3 linked regions of the Coturnix japonica genome follow. The protein of the gene in region 1 interacts with the protein of each later gene in a pairwise test. Links are inferred from orthologs where the notes say so. Each region holds a gene or a part of one and is shown in the gene's direction. Other genes may lie near its edges. The genes, in order: GLP1R, SLC15A4 and CD81.

Region 1 (3,646 bases):
GCCACAATCTCTTGTTGCAGAGCTTTCAGGAAATCTTATTTCTTTTGCTATGTGGAAGATAAATTAATTGAAATTTGTAAAGTTTTCGTGAAATATATTGCTGTCACTTGGTCACATTAGCATACAGGCTTCATCCAGTAATGCACCAACACATTGCACAAAGTACTTCAAAATTAAGAAACTCCAGTCTCCCTGAATTGGTTCCTACATGTTGATGGTACGTTGTGTAGGTTTGATTAAAAGAAAAATAAAGCCTTTAGCCTCCAATAAAACAATCTCTTTTTTGTCTCTCCCAAATTGCAATAGGTATTTCACTGATTCCACTCAGATTTTCTTATGGCATAGAAACGCTGAGCACAGGGTTTTAGAAAATGCAAAGACATAAGCCTACTCTGGTGTAGGAGGGAAGCCACTCTGTCATGCAGTCTTGCTCCTGGATGCTGAATACACCTGGATCTCACCATCCTGATTACATGTTGATGAGACTGCCTCTGAATGTATTTTCCTGTCTCACAGTTCTGTGCTCTGATCCTTAAGAGATTTTCTTGCCTAGTAAATAATTCTCATTGCCAGTTACTGATTGTTTGCTCTGAAAGCAGCGCTCTGTTAGCAAGGCAGTCCCTCACCTGTCCTCCCTCCTACATACTTATATACCTCATTGCATTTAAAAACATCAGTCATACCTCCAGCTTCTAATCCCCAAAGCTAAAGTAACCCAAGCCTTATAGTACTGTGCAGCACCTTTTAGCATAATCTTATCCCTTCTCTTTCTCAAAGAAGATTTAAAATGACTGCAGAAATGTAGACAAGCTCATACACTGAGTCCCATGTAATGATAACTGTGATTTGTAGATGTTGTGGCCATGCAATATGGAATTCACCCAGCAGAACACCAGATGGTCTTGAATTCTCCAAGCGTTTCCCAAGATGAGAGCATCTGTAAGGTGGATTGATACAAAGATGTTAACCAACATTCAAAAAAATTATTTAAAAGGAAAAACTCACCAATAAGGGTTCCTTCACTGGGAAATGCTGAGGCAATTTCCACCAGGGAGCAATCTCCAAGAGATGTTGCCTTAGTGGTGGTCAGCCCTTAAATGAGGTCTAGAGGAGGTGGAGTCCATCTCCACCCCTTCCGGGAGTACAGCTAAATTACTCTCACTTGTGCTCCCACAGCTGACCCAACACTTGCATCAGCTGATTAATCAGAGGTTCAGGCTGTGATTACCAATTTCCCATACAGATTCCTTCCTGTTTTACCCATCAGTGACACTTTTTGAGTAATCTTAGCAGCCCAGGTATAAAAGTCACAGAATGCAACCATGTTCTTATTGAAGGAAGAGTGTACATGGTTTTGACAGGTTATAAGGAGCATGCTTGCTGTAGATGACTGGTAGGAGAAAGGAAATTCTGATGCACTGCTTTTTGTGGAGAGATTTTTTAGCAATTTTCCTTAAGTGGAGAAGCAGTGACTAGAGCAGCGTGCTCAGGTGTCTGTTTCTGGCTTTGCAAATAAAGTTTCAGAGGTATTAAGGAGTTTGTGAGCCTTACTATGCCATCAAACTATTTTTTTGTTTTCCCATCTAAATTGACTGTCTGAAGACAACTTCTTCCTCATAAAAACATAGGGTGCTCCCCCTGTTTGACCCCAGTTAGTGGATTCTGGATACTGATTGGAATGTGGCTCATTCCTATTGGTTGTACAGTCTCATTAGATGAGGATAGAAATTGAATTCAGTGGCATCAAAATGCTGATATTCACCACTTCTGTAATAGGGAGGAGTTAGTAAGTTCTTATACAACAGAGCAATTCTTATATTTGCTTTTTGTAATGATTCTAGAGAGTAATGTATCTCTAGTGTCCAATTTTCCATCTTCTGAAATTGAAGTAAAATCTGTAATTTCAGTGATGGAAGCTGAACCAGGCCCATAACTTCGTGAATTGGGCAATTTGAATAGCTTGCATTGACTACAGCAGAAATAGTAACTACTTCAACCTATTATCTTCAGTTGGTTAGTTTACATGCATTTGTCAATTGGATTTAAATATATGGCAATTCTGAAGTGTAGCAACAAATAAATTTTGAATTAAACAAGAATAAACATTAATCATGTGTAAGTTTTGCAATAGGCGGTGACCTAAATGTGATACAAGCAATTCTAATTGAATTATATATTTTTAAATTAAAATATTCTTTTTCTTAATTTTAAAACTGATAGTATTCAAGACCAAGCCTGATTTTTTATATATATATATATATATTTTTTAAGCATCAAAGAGAGACTTATAGCTAGTGTTGCTTCCTTTGAAACAGAATATGTACCTCTGCAATTCTGGAAGAAAAAAGTCTGTGGGTGAGGCTGGTAAAGCACTAGCAGCACTCTGCAGTTGGTTGCCATTTACATGACTGCAGTTTCCTTTGCTATCCTTTAACATGCTCTTTTTGATAAGTAGCAATTTTGTTGTCTTTACAGCTGTGACTGCCGAAATTCAAGAGGATTTTATCTTTTCCTTTTTTTGGTTTGTTTTCAGTTCTGAGTGAAGAGGAGGAAATCTTGTTCCCTTTTGTTATGCAGGAGATATTTACAATTCCCCTTGGAGGCAATTTGAATACAGCTTTTTCTCTTGTCAAATTGATAATTTACAGGTGGATTTATTTATTTTTTTTTCACTGGGAAAGGGATGCTTGAACACAGCCCAGAAACTGTAATGTACAGCAGTACCTGAGCCAAAGTAAACCTGTTCAGTGACACTGGGATCACTGGGGTTCAAAGGGGTTAAGTACAGCATTATGTGGAATTAGAATAGTTTTAGTCCTTTCAGATATTTCTTCTGAAAATGAATTTATTTTCACATTTTTAGAACATTTTTAACAGATTTTTCTTGTGTACCCGTCTTTTCCCTTCCTTCAGACATTCTCCCTTAAAGCTGCACTTTTTAATATCTTTTCCTCCATGACAGTGATTTCTTCCCAAAGACGATTTGAAATGCCCCCAGCCATTCTTAAGTTACAGGATTTCCTCTGATCCCTCATGATTTTCAACAGAGCTCGTTATGCCCGACCTCAGTCCTATCTGTGATACTGCAGCTTTTACACCATTAGTGGATCATGACTGATTCTTCCTTTTTTACAGACATCTTCATTGCACAAGGAATTATATTCACCTGAACCTCTTCACCTCTTTTATCCTCCGTGCTATATCTGTCTTCATTAAAGACTCAGTGGTGAAGTGGATGTACAACACAGCCACACAAGAGCACCAGTGGGAAGGACTTCTCTCCTTCCAGGTAGGGGCAGACACTGTGGTTATTATGAGGATATTGGAGTCATCATAGTGGTGTGTCTGCATCACAGCTGGTAATTTCAGTTTGTGCACCTAGGCTTGTCCAAAATGATGCTTTTTTCGGTCTGTAATTTCTCTGAACCTTGCAGCACAATGTATGTGGTTGTGCTTTTCAGAACTTGTTGCAAACAGTTGATGTCATGGTATATTTTATCATCCTCTGGTAGGTTTGCCCTTCTAAATGGAACAAGTATGGTCAAGTGGATTTTTTGCATGTGTACAAATGACTCTTTCCTCTTCCTGAGCTGCAGATTCAGTTCCTCTAGTAGTAGCAAGAGGGAATTCATTTTCCTCAGCCAAC
Region 2 (4,276 bases), on another chromosome or scaffold:
AACTGTTGAATCTTACTACTTAGAAAATACATACTTGTCTACTGTTATATTAAGGACTACATTTCATCTTGCATATAGGTCTAAACTAATGTGACAGTACAACACAATACATTGTCCTCATGAAAGCATAGGAAACACATGTTTAGTATTTTGTCAAAGTGCCTGAAGTACTGAAAATACTTTCTAGAGATAAGGGGAATAAAATGTACCCAAATCTTTCTTACTGATTATTCAGCTTCTTAGTTTCAGGAGACTTTGTGGCAATTACCATGAGTTAATTTTGCCATTTCTGTCTGCTACCAGTTTTTACTCTTTCTAAATCTAATGGAACTTTTGCTTTATATTGCCAGTTGAAATTAAAAATAATTATTGGCACCAGTAGGTGGCACTTTGGGAATTTCAGAAAATCCTGCCATCATCAATGGTTTAATTAGTTCCAACAGAAGGAAAATGAGAAGTCCTCTAAACGTATGCCAGGCCTTCCGTGTATAAATGGTTTAGAATTGCATTAAAATCAGTATGAGAGAATTTTCTGTTTGATTTGGTTTTACCGATAAGTAATGTTTTCTGGAAGGCATCCTTATTTGATAAGGCATTCTTGGGGAAAAAAAAGCAGAAGATGACAAATAGCTTTGGCTTTATGCAAGTGTCCTCACCAAGGGGAAGTTTAACCACGTCTGGCTCATCAGGGGTGCTTTCCGTGTGTAGCATGTTCTATTGGTACTACTTTTAATCTTTATATCAGGAGAGTAAACAGATCTGCTGCTGCTGTTTGATTTGGTCTAATGCTATTGAAAGCCGTTACCAAATTCTCATAATAAATTTACTTAGGCCTTCAAGAGCAGGAATGGAAGGAGAAGACTTTATTGAATGAAAGACTCCTGATTTTTTTTAATTAGTTGCTATGTAATAACTATAAGCTTGTACACCAAGCTTATGCTATTAGAGCCGAATCACTGTGCCATTTGATGTAACTACCTGCCTCCAAAATCTACTGTCAGATTTTATTCTCTGCTGGCACGTCGGTGTTGATTGCTGCCTTTGAAATGGCTGTTATTTCTCTGACACAAACTTGAGGTTTCATGGGTTTAATATCCCATCTCATAAAGGATAATTACTACTTTTTAACCACATCTGCTCTCGAAGTGGAGATCCGCACATATATATTGTATTTTAAATGTCAAGGAAAGACTTGGTTTAATTTTATCGCATTTTACTAGAAGTTCGTTTAATTGAATCATAAGTTTCAGTAATTAAAGTAATTTAATCAGAACATTTATAGGCACACTGCATGAACAGCTTGTTAGGATGGATCTACACTTCAGTATTTTTACACCTTCTGACCTTTGTGATAATCTTAATGGTCTCATTGGCTGTGGCTCATGTGGCATGTTGGAAATGAGCCACGATATATTTGTTCTAAAAGTACAGCAATAGTGGATATTTCTTAATAGAGGAATAACATTTTAGCAATGAGCTTTCTTAATTTAACATTAATTAATGTGCTATAACTCACTCATTTATAACAACTTTGAGGGACTGTCAAAGGTGAATTGAACCAAAAGGAACCGTGTATCGTTTCATCAGTTCTTAACTTCGCTCCAAAAGAGGGCTGAGATAACCGCTGTCCTACATCTATAGAGCTGCCAAACTTCTTCCCTTGTACCATTCATTTTCTGATTCTTTTTATTTTCATTTGAAATGAGTTGTCTCCTGAAAAAGTGGATGTGATTTCTGTTACTTACATACATAGAAGTCATCACTGAGATTTTCAGCTGCTTTATTCGAGGTCAGCAAAGCATTGCAATTTTGCAGAATGAGATCTACAATGAAGGGGGAAGAATGGGAGATTATTTAAGTTTTAAGATTGGTCTGACTGGTGAATCATGCCTGTTGCTACATATGTACCGTCCTCGTTGGCACAAAGTTCTTACAGTGGTAGGAGTAACTTCCTGCCATTCTTTTTATAAGGGATGTAATGCAGTGAGACTCTACCTCCTTCCTCAGAGACATTACATGGTCTGAGGCACAGAGGCACAGAAGAAAGATTAAGTGTACTTTCCTTTAAAGTTCCATCATTTGTCCTGCATCATTGTGCTGTCAGGTGGAAAGGTGTTGAGGTCTTCCCATGTTTTGCAAGGAAGTCTTCACTACTTAAGCTTGAAGGGATTGATATTTTCACTTGTATATTTATTAATGTTTATTTTTTCCTTTCTATTTTCTTTTCTAGGTAACATTAATGGCTGCCAATTAAATTATTACTTTTTTTTACTGGCTGCCATCCAAGGAGCAACCCTCTTGCTTTTCCTTATTGTTTCTGTGAAATATGATCATCAAAAATCAAAGATGAATGACGTAGCTGCCAATGGAAGGATCTGATGTCTGTCACAGAGCGGATGATTACAGCAGCTCATGCTGAATCTGTGAGATCTTATGTTTTCTCCGGAGAGACTCTTATTAGACTTGCATGTTACAAGAGTTCTCGCCCCTGCCCCTCTCAGTTAACGTGGGTAAGTGCCTTATGTTGGTGGGGCTCATTTCTTGCACTATGTCCTGGCAGAGGACAAACACAAATCTTGGAAGTGTATTAACTCTAGGCATTCAAGTTGCTCTTTGTAATCATGTGATGTTTACTAAACTCTTGAAAGCTGGGGACTTATGCTTGGATATTGAATGCAGCGAGTCACGTGTGGCATGGGTTAGTCCTGAGTGAGGAACTGCTAAGTGAAATATCATGGATCTACAGAAACACTCAGCTGTCTCAAGCCCACACTGAGGATGCATAGGAAAGAAAACATTTCACAAGAACCTGAAGTAGCAGTTGCAAGAACAAACATACGTAAGCCATGAGAGTTGATTTTCTTGGGAGAAGCAGGGACAAATTAAGTTGCAGATCAGCTGTAATTAAAAAAAACGACATTATCATCTTTTGCTGGAAGTGAACTCAGCCATGAAGATCCAAAGTTACAGTCAAGAGAGTCCAAGACTGAAGGCTGAGTTGGCAACGTGCTGACTCTATGTGTTGCAGTAGCTTGGCATGCAGCTGCTCTAAGTTCTGCTGCATAGTAAACATTTGTTGGCAGTGAAATGGTTTTACTTCAGAATTGGTTTTGAGTTTGCATTGGGTGTATTAGGCCAAAATGAAAACATACATCTTTTGACAGGGTATTCTTCAGTCTGTTACTTCCCTAAGGAGTATTTTAAAGGACTGAGATGGAATTCTCAGAAGATGAATGCGCAAGAACGATTTAGAAGCCTTTTGAGCCAGTTCCTTCAGTTCTGTGTCTTAGTTCTGGCTACCATGCTGCAGGGTTTGCATCTTTCAGCAACACATTCCTATAGCAGAGCAAATGGTTTCCCATTTGGCCTCCTGAGTTTGAATCATTTTAACAATGGATTGTGTGCAGGCTGGTATGGAAGATGGTATTTTGCGAAGATTAATGTGGAAAGAAAACAAAAACTCAACTTTTTATTAATATATTGGATTTTATAGTTTCCTTTGCATTTATGTTGTTAAAATGTCCCTTTTGTTTTTGTACATGGGCATCTTTTTAATGAGTTTACAAAATAAAACAAAACTTCCTTGCTGTGACTTTTGACCCTTTGTTTCTAGGTGAATAAAATTATCCTACAACTATTCTGGTTTTTAGCCTTAATTTCCTCAACATACAGTGAGATCCTATTAAGTGTCAATGTGCATTGACATCCCATTCATTTTGTCAGCTCATGTAAGAGTACATGTATTGTCTTTGCCAAGATAAATCAGGGGAAATAACAGAATAGAGTTCTTTCTTGAATAGATACTGTTTCAATTATTCATTATTAAGTGTTTCTTCTGCTGTTAGATATTGTCAGCTCTGGTGTCCCTTCTTAATCCTTTTCCAAGAAGTGAATTTCATCTCACTGTTTTTCTCCAGTCTTCATATTTTTAACAGTGTTCATAAATCTCTGATTTGATGCCACTCTGCTCCAACCTGGTTACACCAAGTTAAATGAAGTTTACCAGAGAAACAAGAAGTCTAACACTGTGACAGCCCACACAGGCAAGCTTCTGAGAAACATCCAAAGTTCATATGGATTACTTAAGGAGGAGTTCAATGAGCGAAGACTAGGTTAGTCTACACGTTCTTTAGGCAAACAACTTTCACCCTGTCACAAGCAATACAGTAAATATCTGCAGGTTTCTGTATGGCTGTGCAGGTTCTTATAGTCCGGAGATGTCTGAACGTGCAATCAATTGTACAGCTTAATTTTTATTTGGAATGACTTGGCTGAG
Region 3 (4,446 bases), on another chromosome or scaffold:
TTTGTTGGTTTGGGTTGTGTGGGGTTTTTTTTTCAGTACAGAGGTCAAAGTTTTCAAGCATGCTCGGCTGAGCTGCCTGGAAGCAAATAAATTGATAGAAGACTGAGATGTTTGGATAAAGTTTGAAATACTTCCCCACTGCCAAGCCACAGAGAGGTTCAGATGGGATCTGTGACCCTTGAGCTGGAGCCCTGGACAATGTATGGTTCAGGCATGGGGATGCCCTAGCAGTAGGAGCACATTAGCTCTGAGACAGATTGTTTAGCATTTGGAGTGTATGAAAAGTTTTGTTTCTTGTTTGCTACTTCCCATAGGTTAAGGCAGAAAGCAAAAGCCATGATACCACCTTCCAAATATCCCAAGCTCCCCATAGGTGGCTCCAGTGCCAGTTTGGTGGTAGTGATTGCAGTGGGGCTGCCAGCTTCCCAGCACACAGACACTGATTTGAGTGTCTTTCCTTCCTAAGCCCAGCTCTGGCTGTGCTGCTGCTGAAGCCTTATCAGTTTGCATGTGGTTCTTTCCCTTCCCTGCAGCAAACCCTGCTTGTTTTGGGCAGAAATCAAGGCATTGTGGGATCCTGTGTCATAGCAGGGGAAAAAAATTGGGATCCTGTCATTATCTTTTGGATCAACAGGCAGGATCCAGGCAGGATTACACCTACAGCCAACGATTCAGTCTATCAGCTGGTGCATGAATACCCCTGTGAGCCTCCAGCTTCACTGGTAAGGCCAAATGAGTAAATGGGGCTTAGAAACAAAGGGTTTATGCATCCATGGCAAGCCCACGATTAGGGGATGCACTCAGTAATTGGGGAACTGGTTTGGCTTCTGTTCTGCCTCAGTTCTCACTGGGTGCTCAGCAGGTGCAGAGGGCAAAGCAGGGTTCGACAGGCACCAGGGGTGCTGTCTGAGCACTTGAACTCATTTCTACTTTTTTTCTTTGTTTTTCTTTTAGACACATAAGGTCCTGCCTTCGATCAGGCTTTTGTGTTCTGAGTTCTGTTCTGACTTTTTGGTACCCCAGCCCTAAAAAAAAAAGCAACCATGCCTGCTGGTTGCACAGCAGGGTGTGAGCAGGCTGTGTTTCTAGGGATGCACAGATGAACCAAAGTGAGGTTAGCCTAGAAGGTGAGGAAACTTTCTGCTGGTTCTGTGGTGCTGCTTTTTGGCTTTTAAAATTCAACTTCCAAGCTGCAATGTGAGGGATACTAAAAATGTCAGCGCGTGTGACACAGATCTCTTTGATGGTGAGCCCTGAAATACCCCCAGATGGATGGGGAAAGGAGCAAAGCAAGCACGGTGAGTGCTTCTGCACAATTTGGAGGTGATCTTTTGGGTGGTGGGTTGTGTAAGGCTGAAAGGAAGCATTGGGAAGATGGGGGTGAGTTTTAATGTAAGAGCAAGTGGGAAAAGGGAAGGTGCGGGGGTGGGAAGGCTACAAGAGGGGGGAAAAAAAGAACAGGGGAAGGGAGAGGGAAGGGAAAAAGCAATCGAAAGGAAAAAGAGCGTTAGAGGGTGGGACCCGGAGGGCCCCCGCCGCTCGGGAGAGGCGGGCAGGGGGCGGCCCTTCCTAGCGCTCCCTCCCTCTCTCCCTCCCCGCCGCCGCCCAGCTTGGCCTCAGATCGGGAGCTGCTGCCGCCGAAGCCGCCATGGGGGTAGAGGGCTGCACCAAGTGTATCAAATACCTGCTCTTCGTCTTCAACTTCATCTTCTGGGTAAGCCCCAGCGCGATGAGGGCGGTTGGGCTGTGCGTCCTGCTAGAGCCGGGGTATTTTCTATTCCTTTTCCCCCACCGGCCAGCCCCCATGTTGAGCTTTGCACCCTGCTATCAGGGCTTTTTGGTCGGCGGGGTGCGGGGATCATTTATCCTTTGGTTTTTTTTTATGCGCGCTAACGCAGCTTTATTTATTTATGTATTTATTCATACGGCACATCTATATGCACTCACGTAGATGGATGTATTTTTTAATGTATGTGCATCCTCTGCGCGAGGGCGGGGGTTCGGCTCTCTGTTCTCTCCCCGCACGTCCTGTTGCCGTGCGGTTTTTCGATTGCTGAGGGCTGGATGGGGTGAGCCCCCCCGTGCGGAGGGGATGCGTAAAGCAGGGGAGGTTGGGGCTGGCGCTGCCCCTCGCAGCCCTGGCAGCGCTTGGAGCGGGCTGGGTTAGGGCTGGGCGCTGCCTTTGGGAACTTAGTGGAGCCGGCGGATATTCCCAAGGTGCTGAGGTTTGCTTTTCTGAGAAAGTTTCTCATGTAATAATTCATCTGCCTGGGCATGGTGGTGGCAGCGGGTCCTCCTGCGGGGGAGGAAGGTCACCGTTAGCGTTCCTGTCCGTTTTTCCCAATTCTGGGTCAGACGCCGACGCGTCAGGGAGCGGTGGAGGCGCTCCCGAATCCAGCCTGGTTTGAGACTCTGCTTTGCCTTTCTTCTCACATAGCGGTGACCGAGGAAGGCTGACAAACGGTGACGACAGCGGCATTAATTGATATCCGATGCTGTGCCAGCTGCAGGATGAGCTGGGACCGTCCTCCTCCCTCTCTAGGCAGCAGGACAGGGCTGTGTCTCCCTGGGCTGCTCCCCCACGAGCTTCGGTGCCTATCCGGGGGCTTTGCTTCCCTCCTGCTCCAGGCTTCCTGCCATTCTTGTTGCAGAAGTGTGGATGCAGAAAGGAAGGGTCCCATGGGGACAGGAAGGATGCAGAAGGGCCCTGTGCTGCTGCTGCTCCTGGGGAGGCTCCCTCACTCGTGCTATATACCTAACTCTTAGTAAACCATCCTTTTACTTAAAAGGGGAACTTCCAGATCCATTTTCCTTCCCTTTATGGCTTTTGGTTCCTGCTCTCCAGGGCTTGCCAGCCAGCAGTTTATTCCGGGGGCTTTTCATGAGGCTGGGTGGCCAAACAACAGGTCTGATGGCTTCCATAAGCTGGAGTCGAGGGTAATTGTAAGGTTTAGCGCCTTATCAGTGCGGTGAGCAACACGTCTCATGCCTCCAGCTATGGGTGGGGGATGCTTTGGTCGTTACCCCATCGTGAAGACCTGAGAAAGTTTTATGTTCAGAGGGAGGAAGCAGCGCTGAAGCGCTTGTCGCAGGGTGCCCGTGCTGCTGGCAGCGCAGCTGCCTGTGTGTCCCAGCCCCTGGGAGATATGGGATGAGGGGCTTGGGGCAGTGTCGATGCCAGCCATTTGGTATGCGAAGGCTGTGGAACTGCTCTGTTGCTTGTTGTGTGCTTGGCGCTGAGTCGAAAACAAGCGCGAGGCAGAACTGGGAGCTTGGCAGACACCAGGGCTTGGCCGCATGCTGAAAAACAGCTCACTCCGGGGGAGGAAAGGAAGTAATTCTAAGCCTTGCTGTGTTAACAAGTAAGAAAGAAGCTGATAACTTTTTGAAGTGGCCTCGTTGTCCTGCTGGGGTGTAAATAAACGGACACCCCCGTAGCAGCACAGGGACATAACAAAGCCGCCGTGTTGGGAAGCAAAAGTAAAATGTTGCTTCAGCACCAGTTGCCCTGGGCGCCTTGGCAGCAGCCCCGTCTGCCTGAGATTTCTCTCTTTTGGGGGCCGTTTTTCCCTCGTGCTTTAGGAAGAACCGGGCTGTTTTGCTGGCTGGGGCATGCAGCTGGGCCACGATGGCTGTCAGGGAGCACACATAAGATTGCACGCACGTTGCCGATGTGTGCTGAAGGGTGCTGGGAATGAGAGTCCTGAGGCTGCTCAAAGCTTTCTGAAACTCTGGAAGACCTGTGGCATGTCCAGTAGAGTTGTGCTGGGTTGTAGTGTGATGAAAGTGGGCAGACATCACTAGGGTGGTGGAAGAGGACAAAGGCAGCTCCAGGAGAGCTTCACCCCACTAACAGAACACAGGGATAATAAGGAAAAGCTTTTATGTGCCACGAGCTTGGCCTGAAACCTCAGTAGAAATACTTGAATCCCATTTCTGTTATTTCTTGCATGGCTGAATTAGGCAGTATACTTGTGATATTTGAGAGCCACAGGGAGCAGTGACTTTTGGGAGATGGCCAGCTGTCCACGAAAGGTGCTGGGTTATTGGATGGTTGCTGAGCGAGCTGCCAAGCTCATGCCCTGAGGCACTGCTGGTGGAAGGGTCTCAGCATGGTTCAGGTTGTGGCTGGTACATTGAGCTGGGGCCACTTTTATATAACCTGAGAGGCCAAATGAGGCCCAGTAGGTCTTTCAACATGTGATTAAACATAACTAGAAAGGAATCAGCCTGCTCTCACCCAGCCCATCAGCTAACATGCACCTCCAGGCCCAACACACTGCCGCCTGCTCTGGTGAGGGGTCTGGTTCAAAGAGCTCACTTTTGGCATGGTAGTGGCAAGTTGATGGTTGGACTAGATGATCTTAGTGGTCTTTTCCAACCTTAATGATTCTATGATTCAGTCCTCCCTTCCATGCTACACACAGCTATTTTCTCCTATGCTTG

What was found.
Region 2: the proteins of GLP1R (region 1) and SLC15A4 interact in a protein complementation assay, tested with the Homo sapiens proteins (2 studies listed by BioGRID). The link is inferred for Coturnix japonica from reciprocal best matches to the Homo sapiens genes GLP1R and SLC15A4.
Region 3: the proteins of GLP1R (region 1) and CD81 interact in a protein complementation assay, tested with the Homo sapiens proteins (2 studies listed by BioGRID). The link is inferred for Coturnix japonica from reciprocal best matches to the Homo sapiens genes GLP1R and CD81.

The regions. Positions count from the first base shown.
Region 1 is NC_029518.1:26,283,610-26,287,255, reverse strand, and holds part of GLP1R (glucagon-like peptide 1 receptor), read left to right. Parts: intron 1-3,135; coding exon 3,136-3,289; intron 3,290-3,646.
Region 2 is NC_029530.1:3,167,871-3,172,146, forward strand, and holds the end of SLC15A4 (solute carrier family 15 member 4), read left to right. Parts: intron 1-2,230; coding exon 2,231-2,379; 3' UTR 2,380-3,637; downstream 3,638-4,276. UniProt on the Homo sapiens protein: Proton-coupled amino-acid transporter that mediates the transmembrane transport of L-histidine and some di- and tripeptides from inside the lysosome to the cytosol, and plays a key role in innate immune response.
Region 3 is NC_029520.1:10,912,402-10,916,847, forward strand, and holds the start of CD81 (CD81 antigen), read left to right. Parts: upstream 1-1,577; 5' UTR 1,578-1,648; coding exon 1,649-1,714; intron 1,715-4,446. UniProt on the Homo sapiens protein: Structural component of specialized membrane microdomains known as tetraspanin-enriched microdomains (TERMs), which act as platforms for receptor clustering and signaling.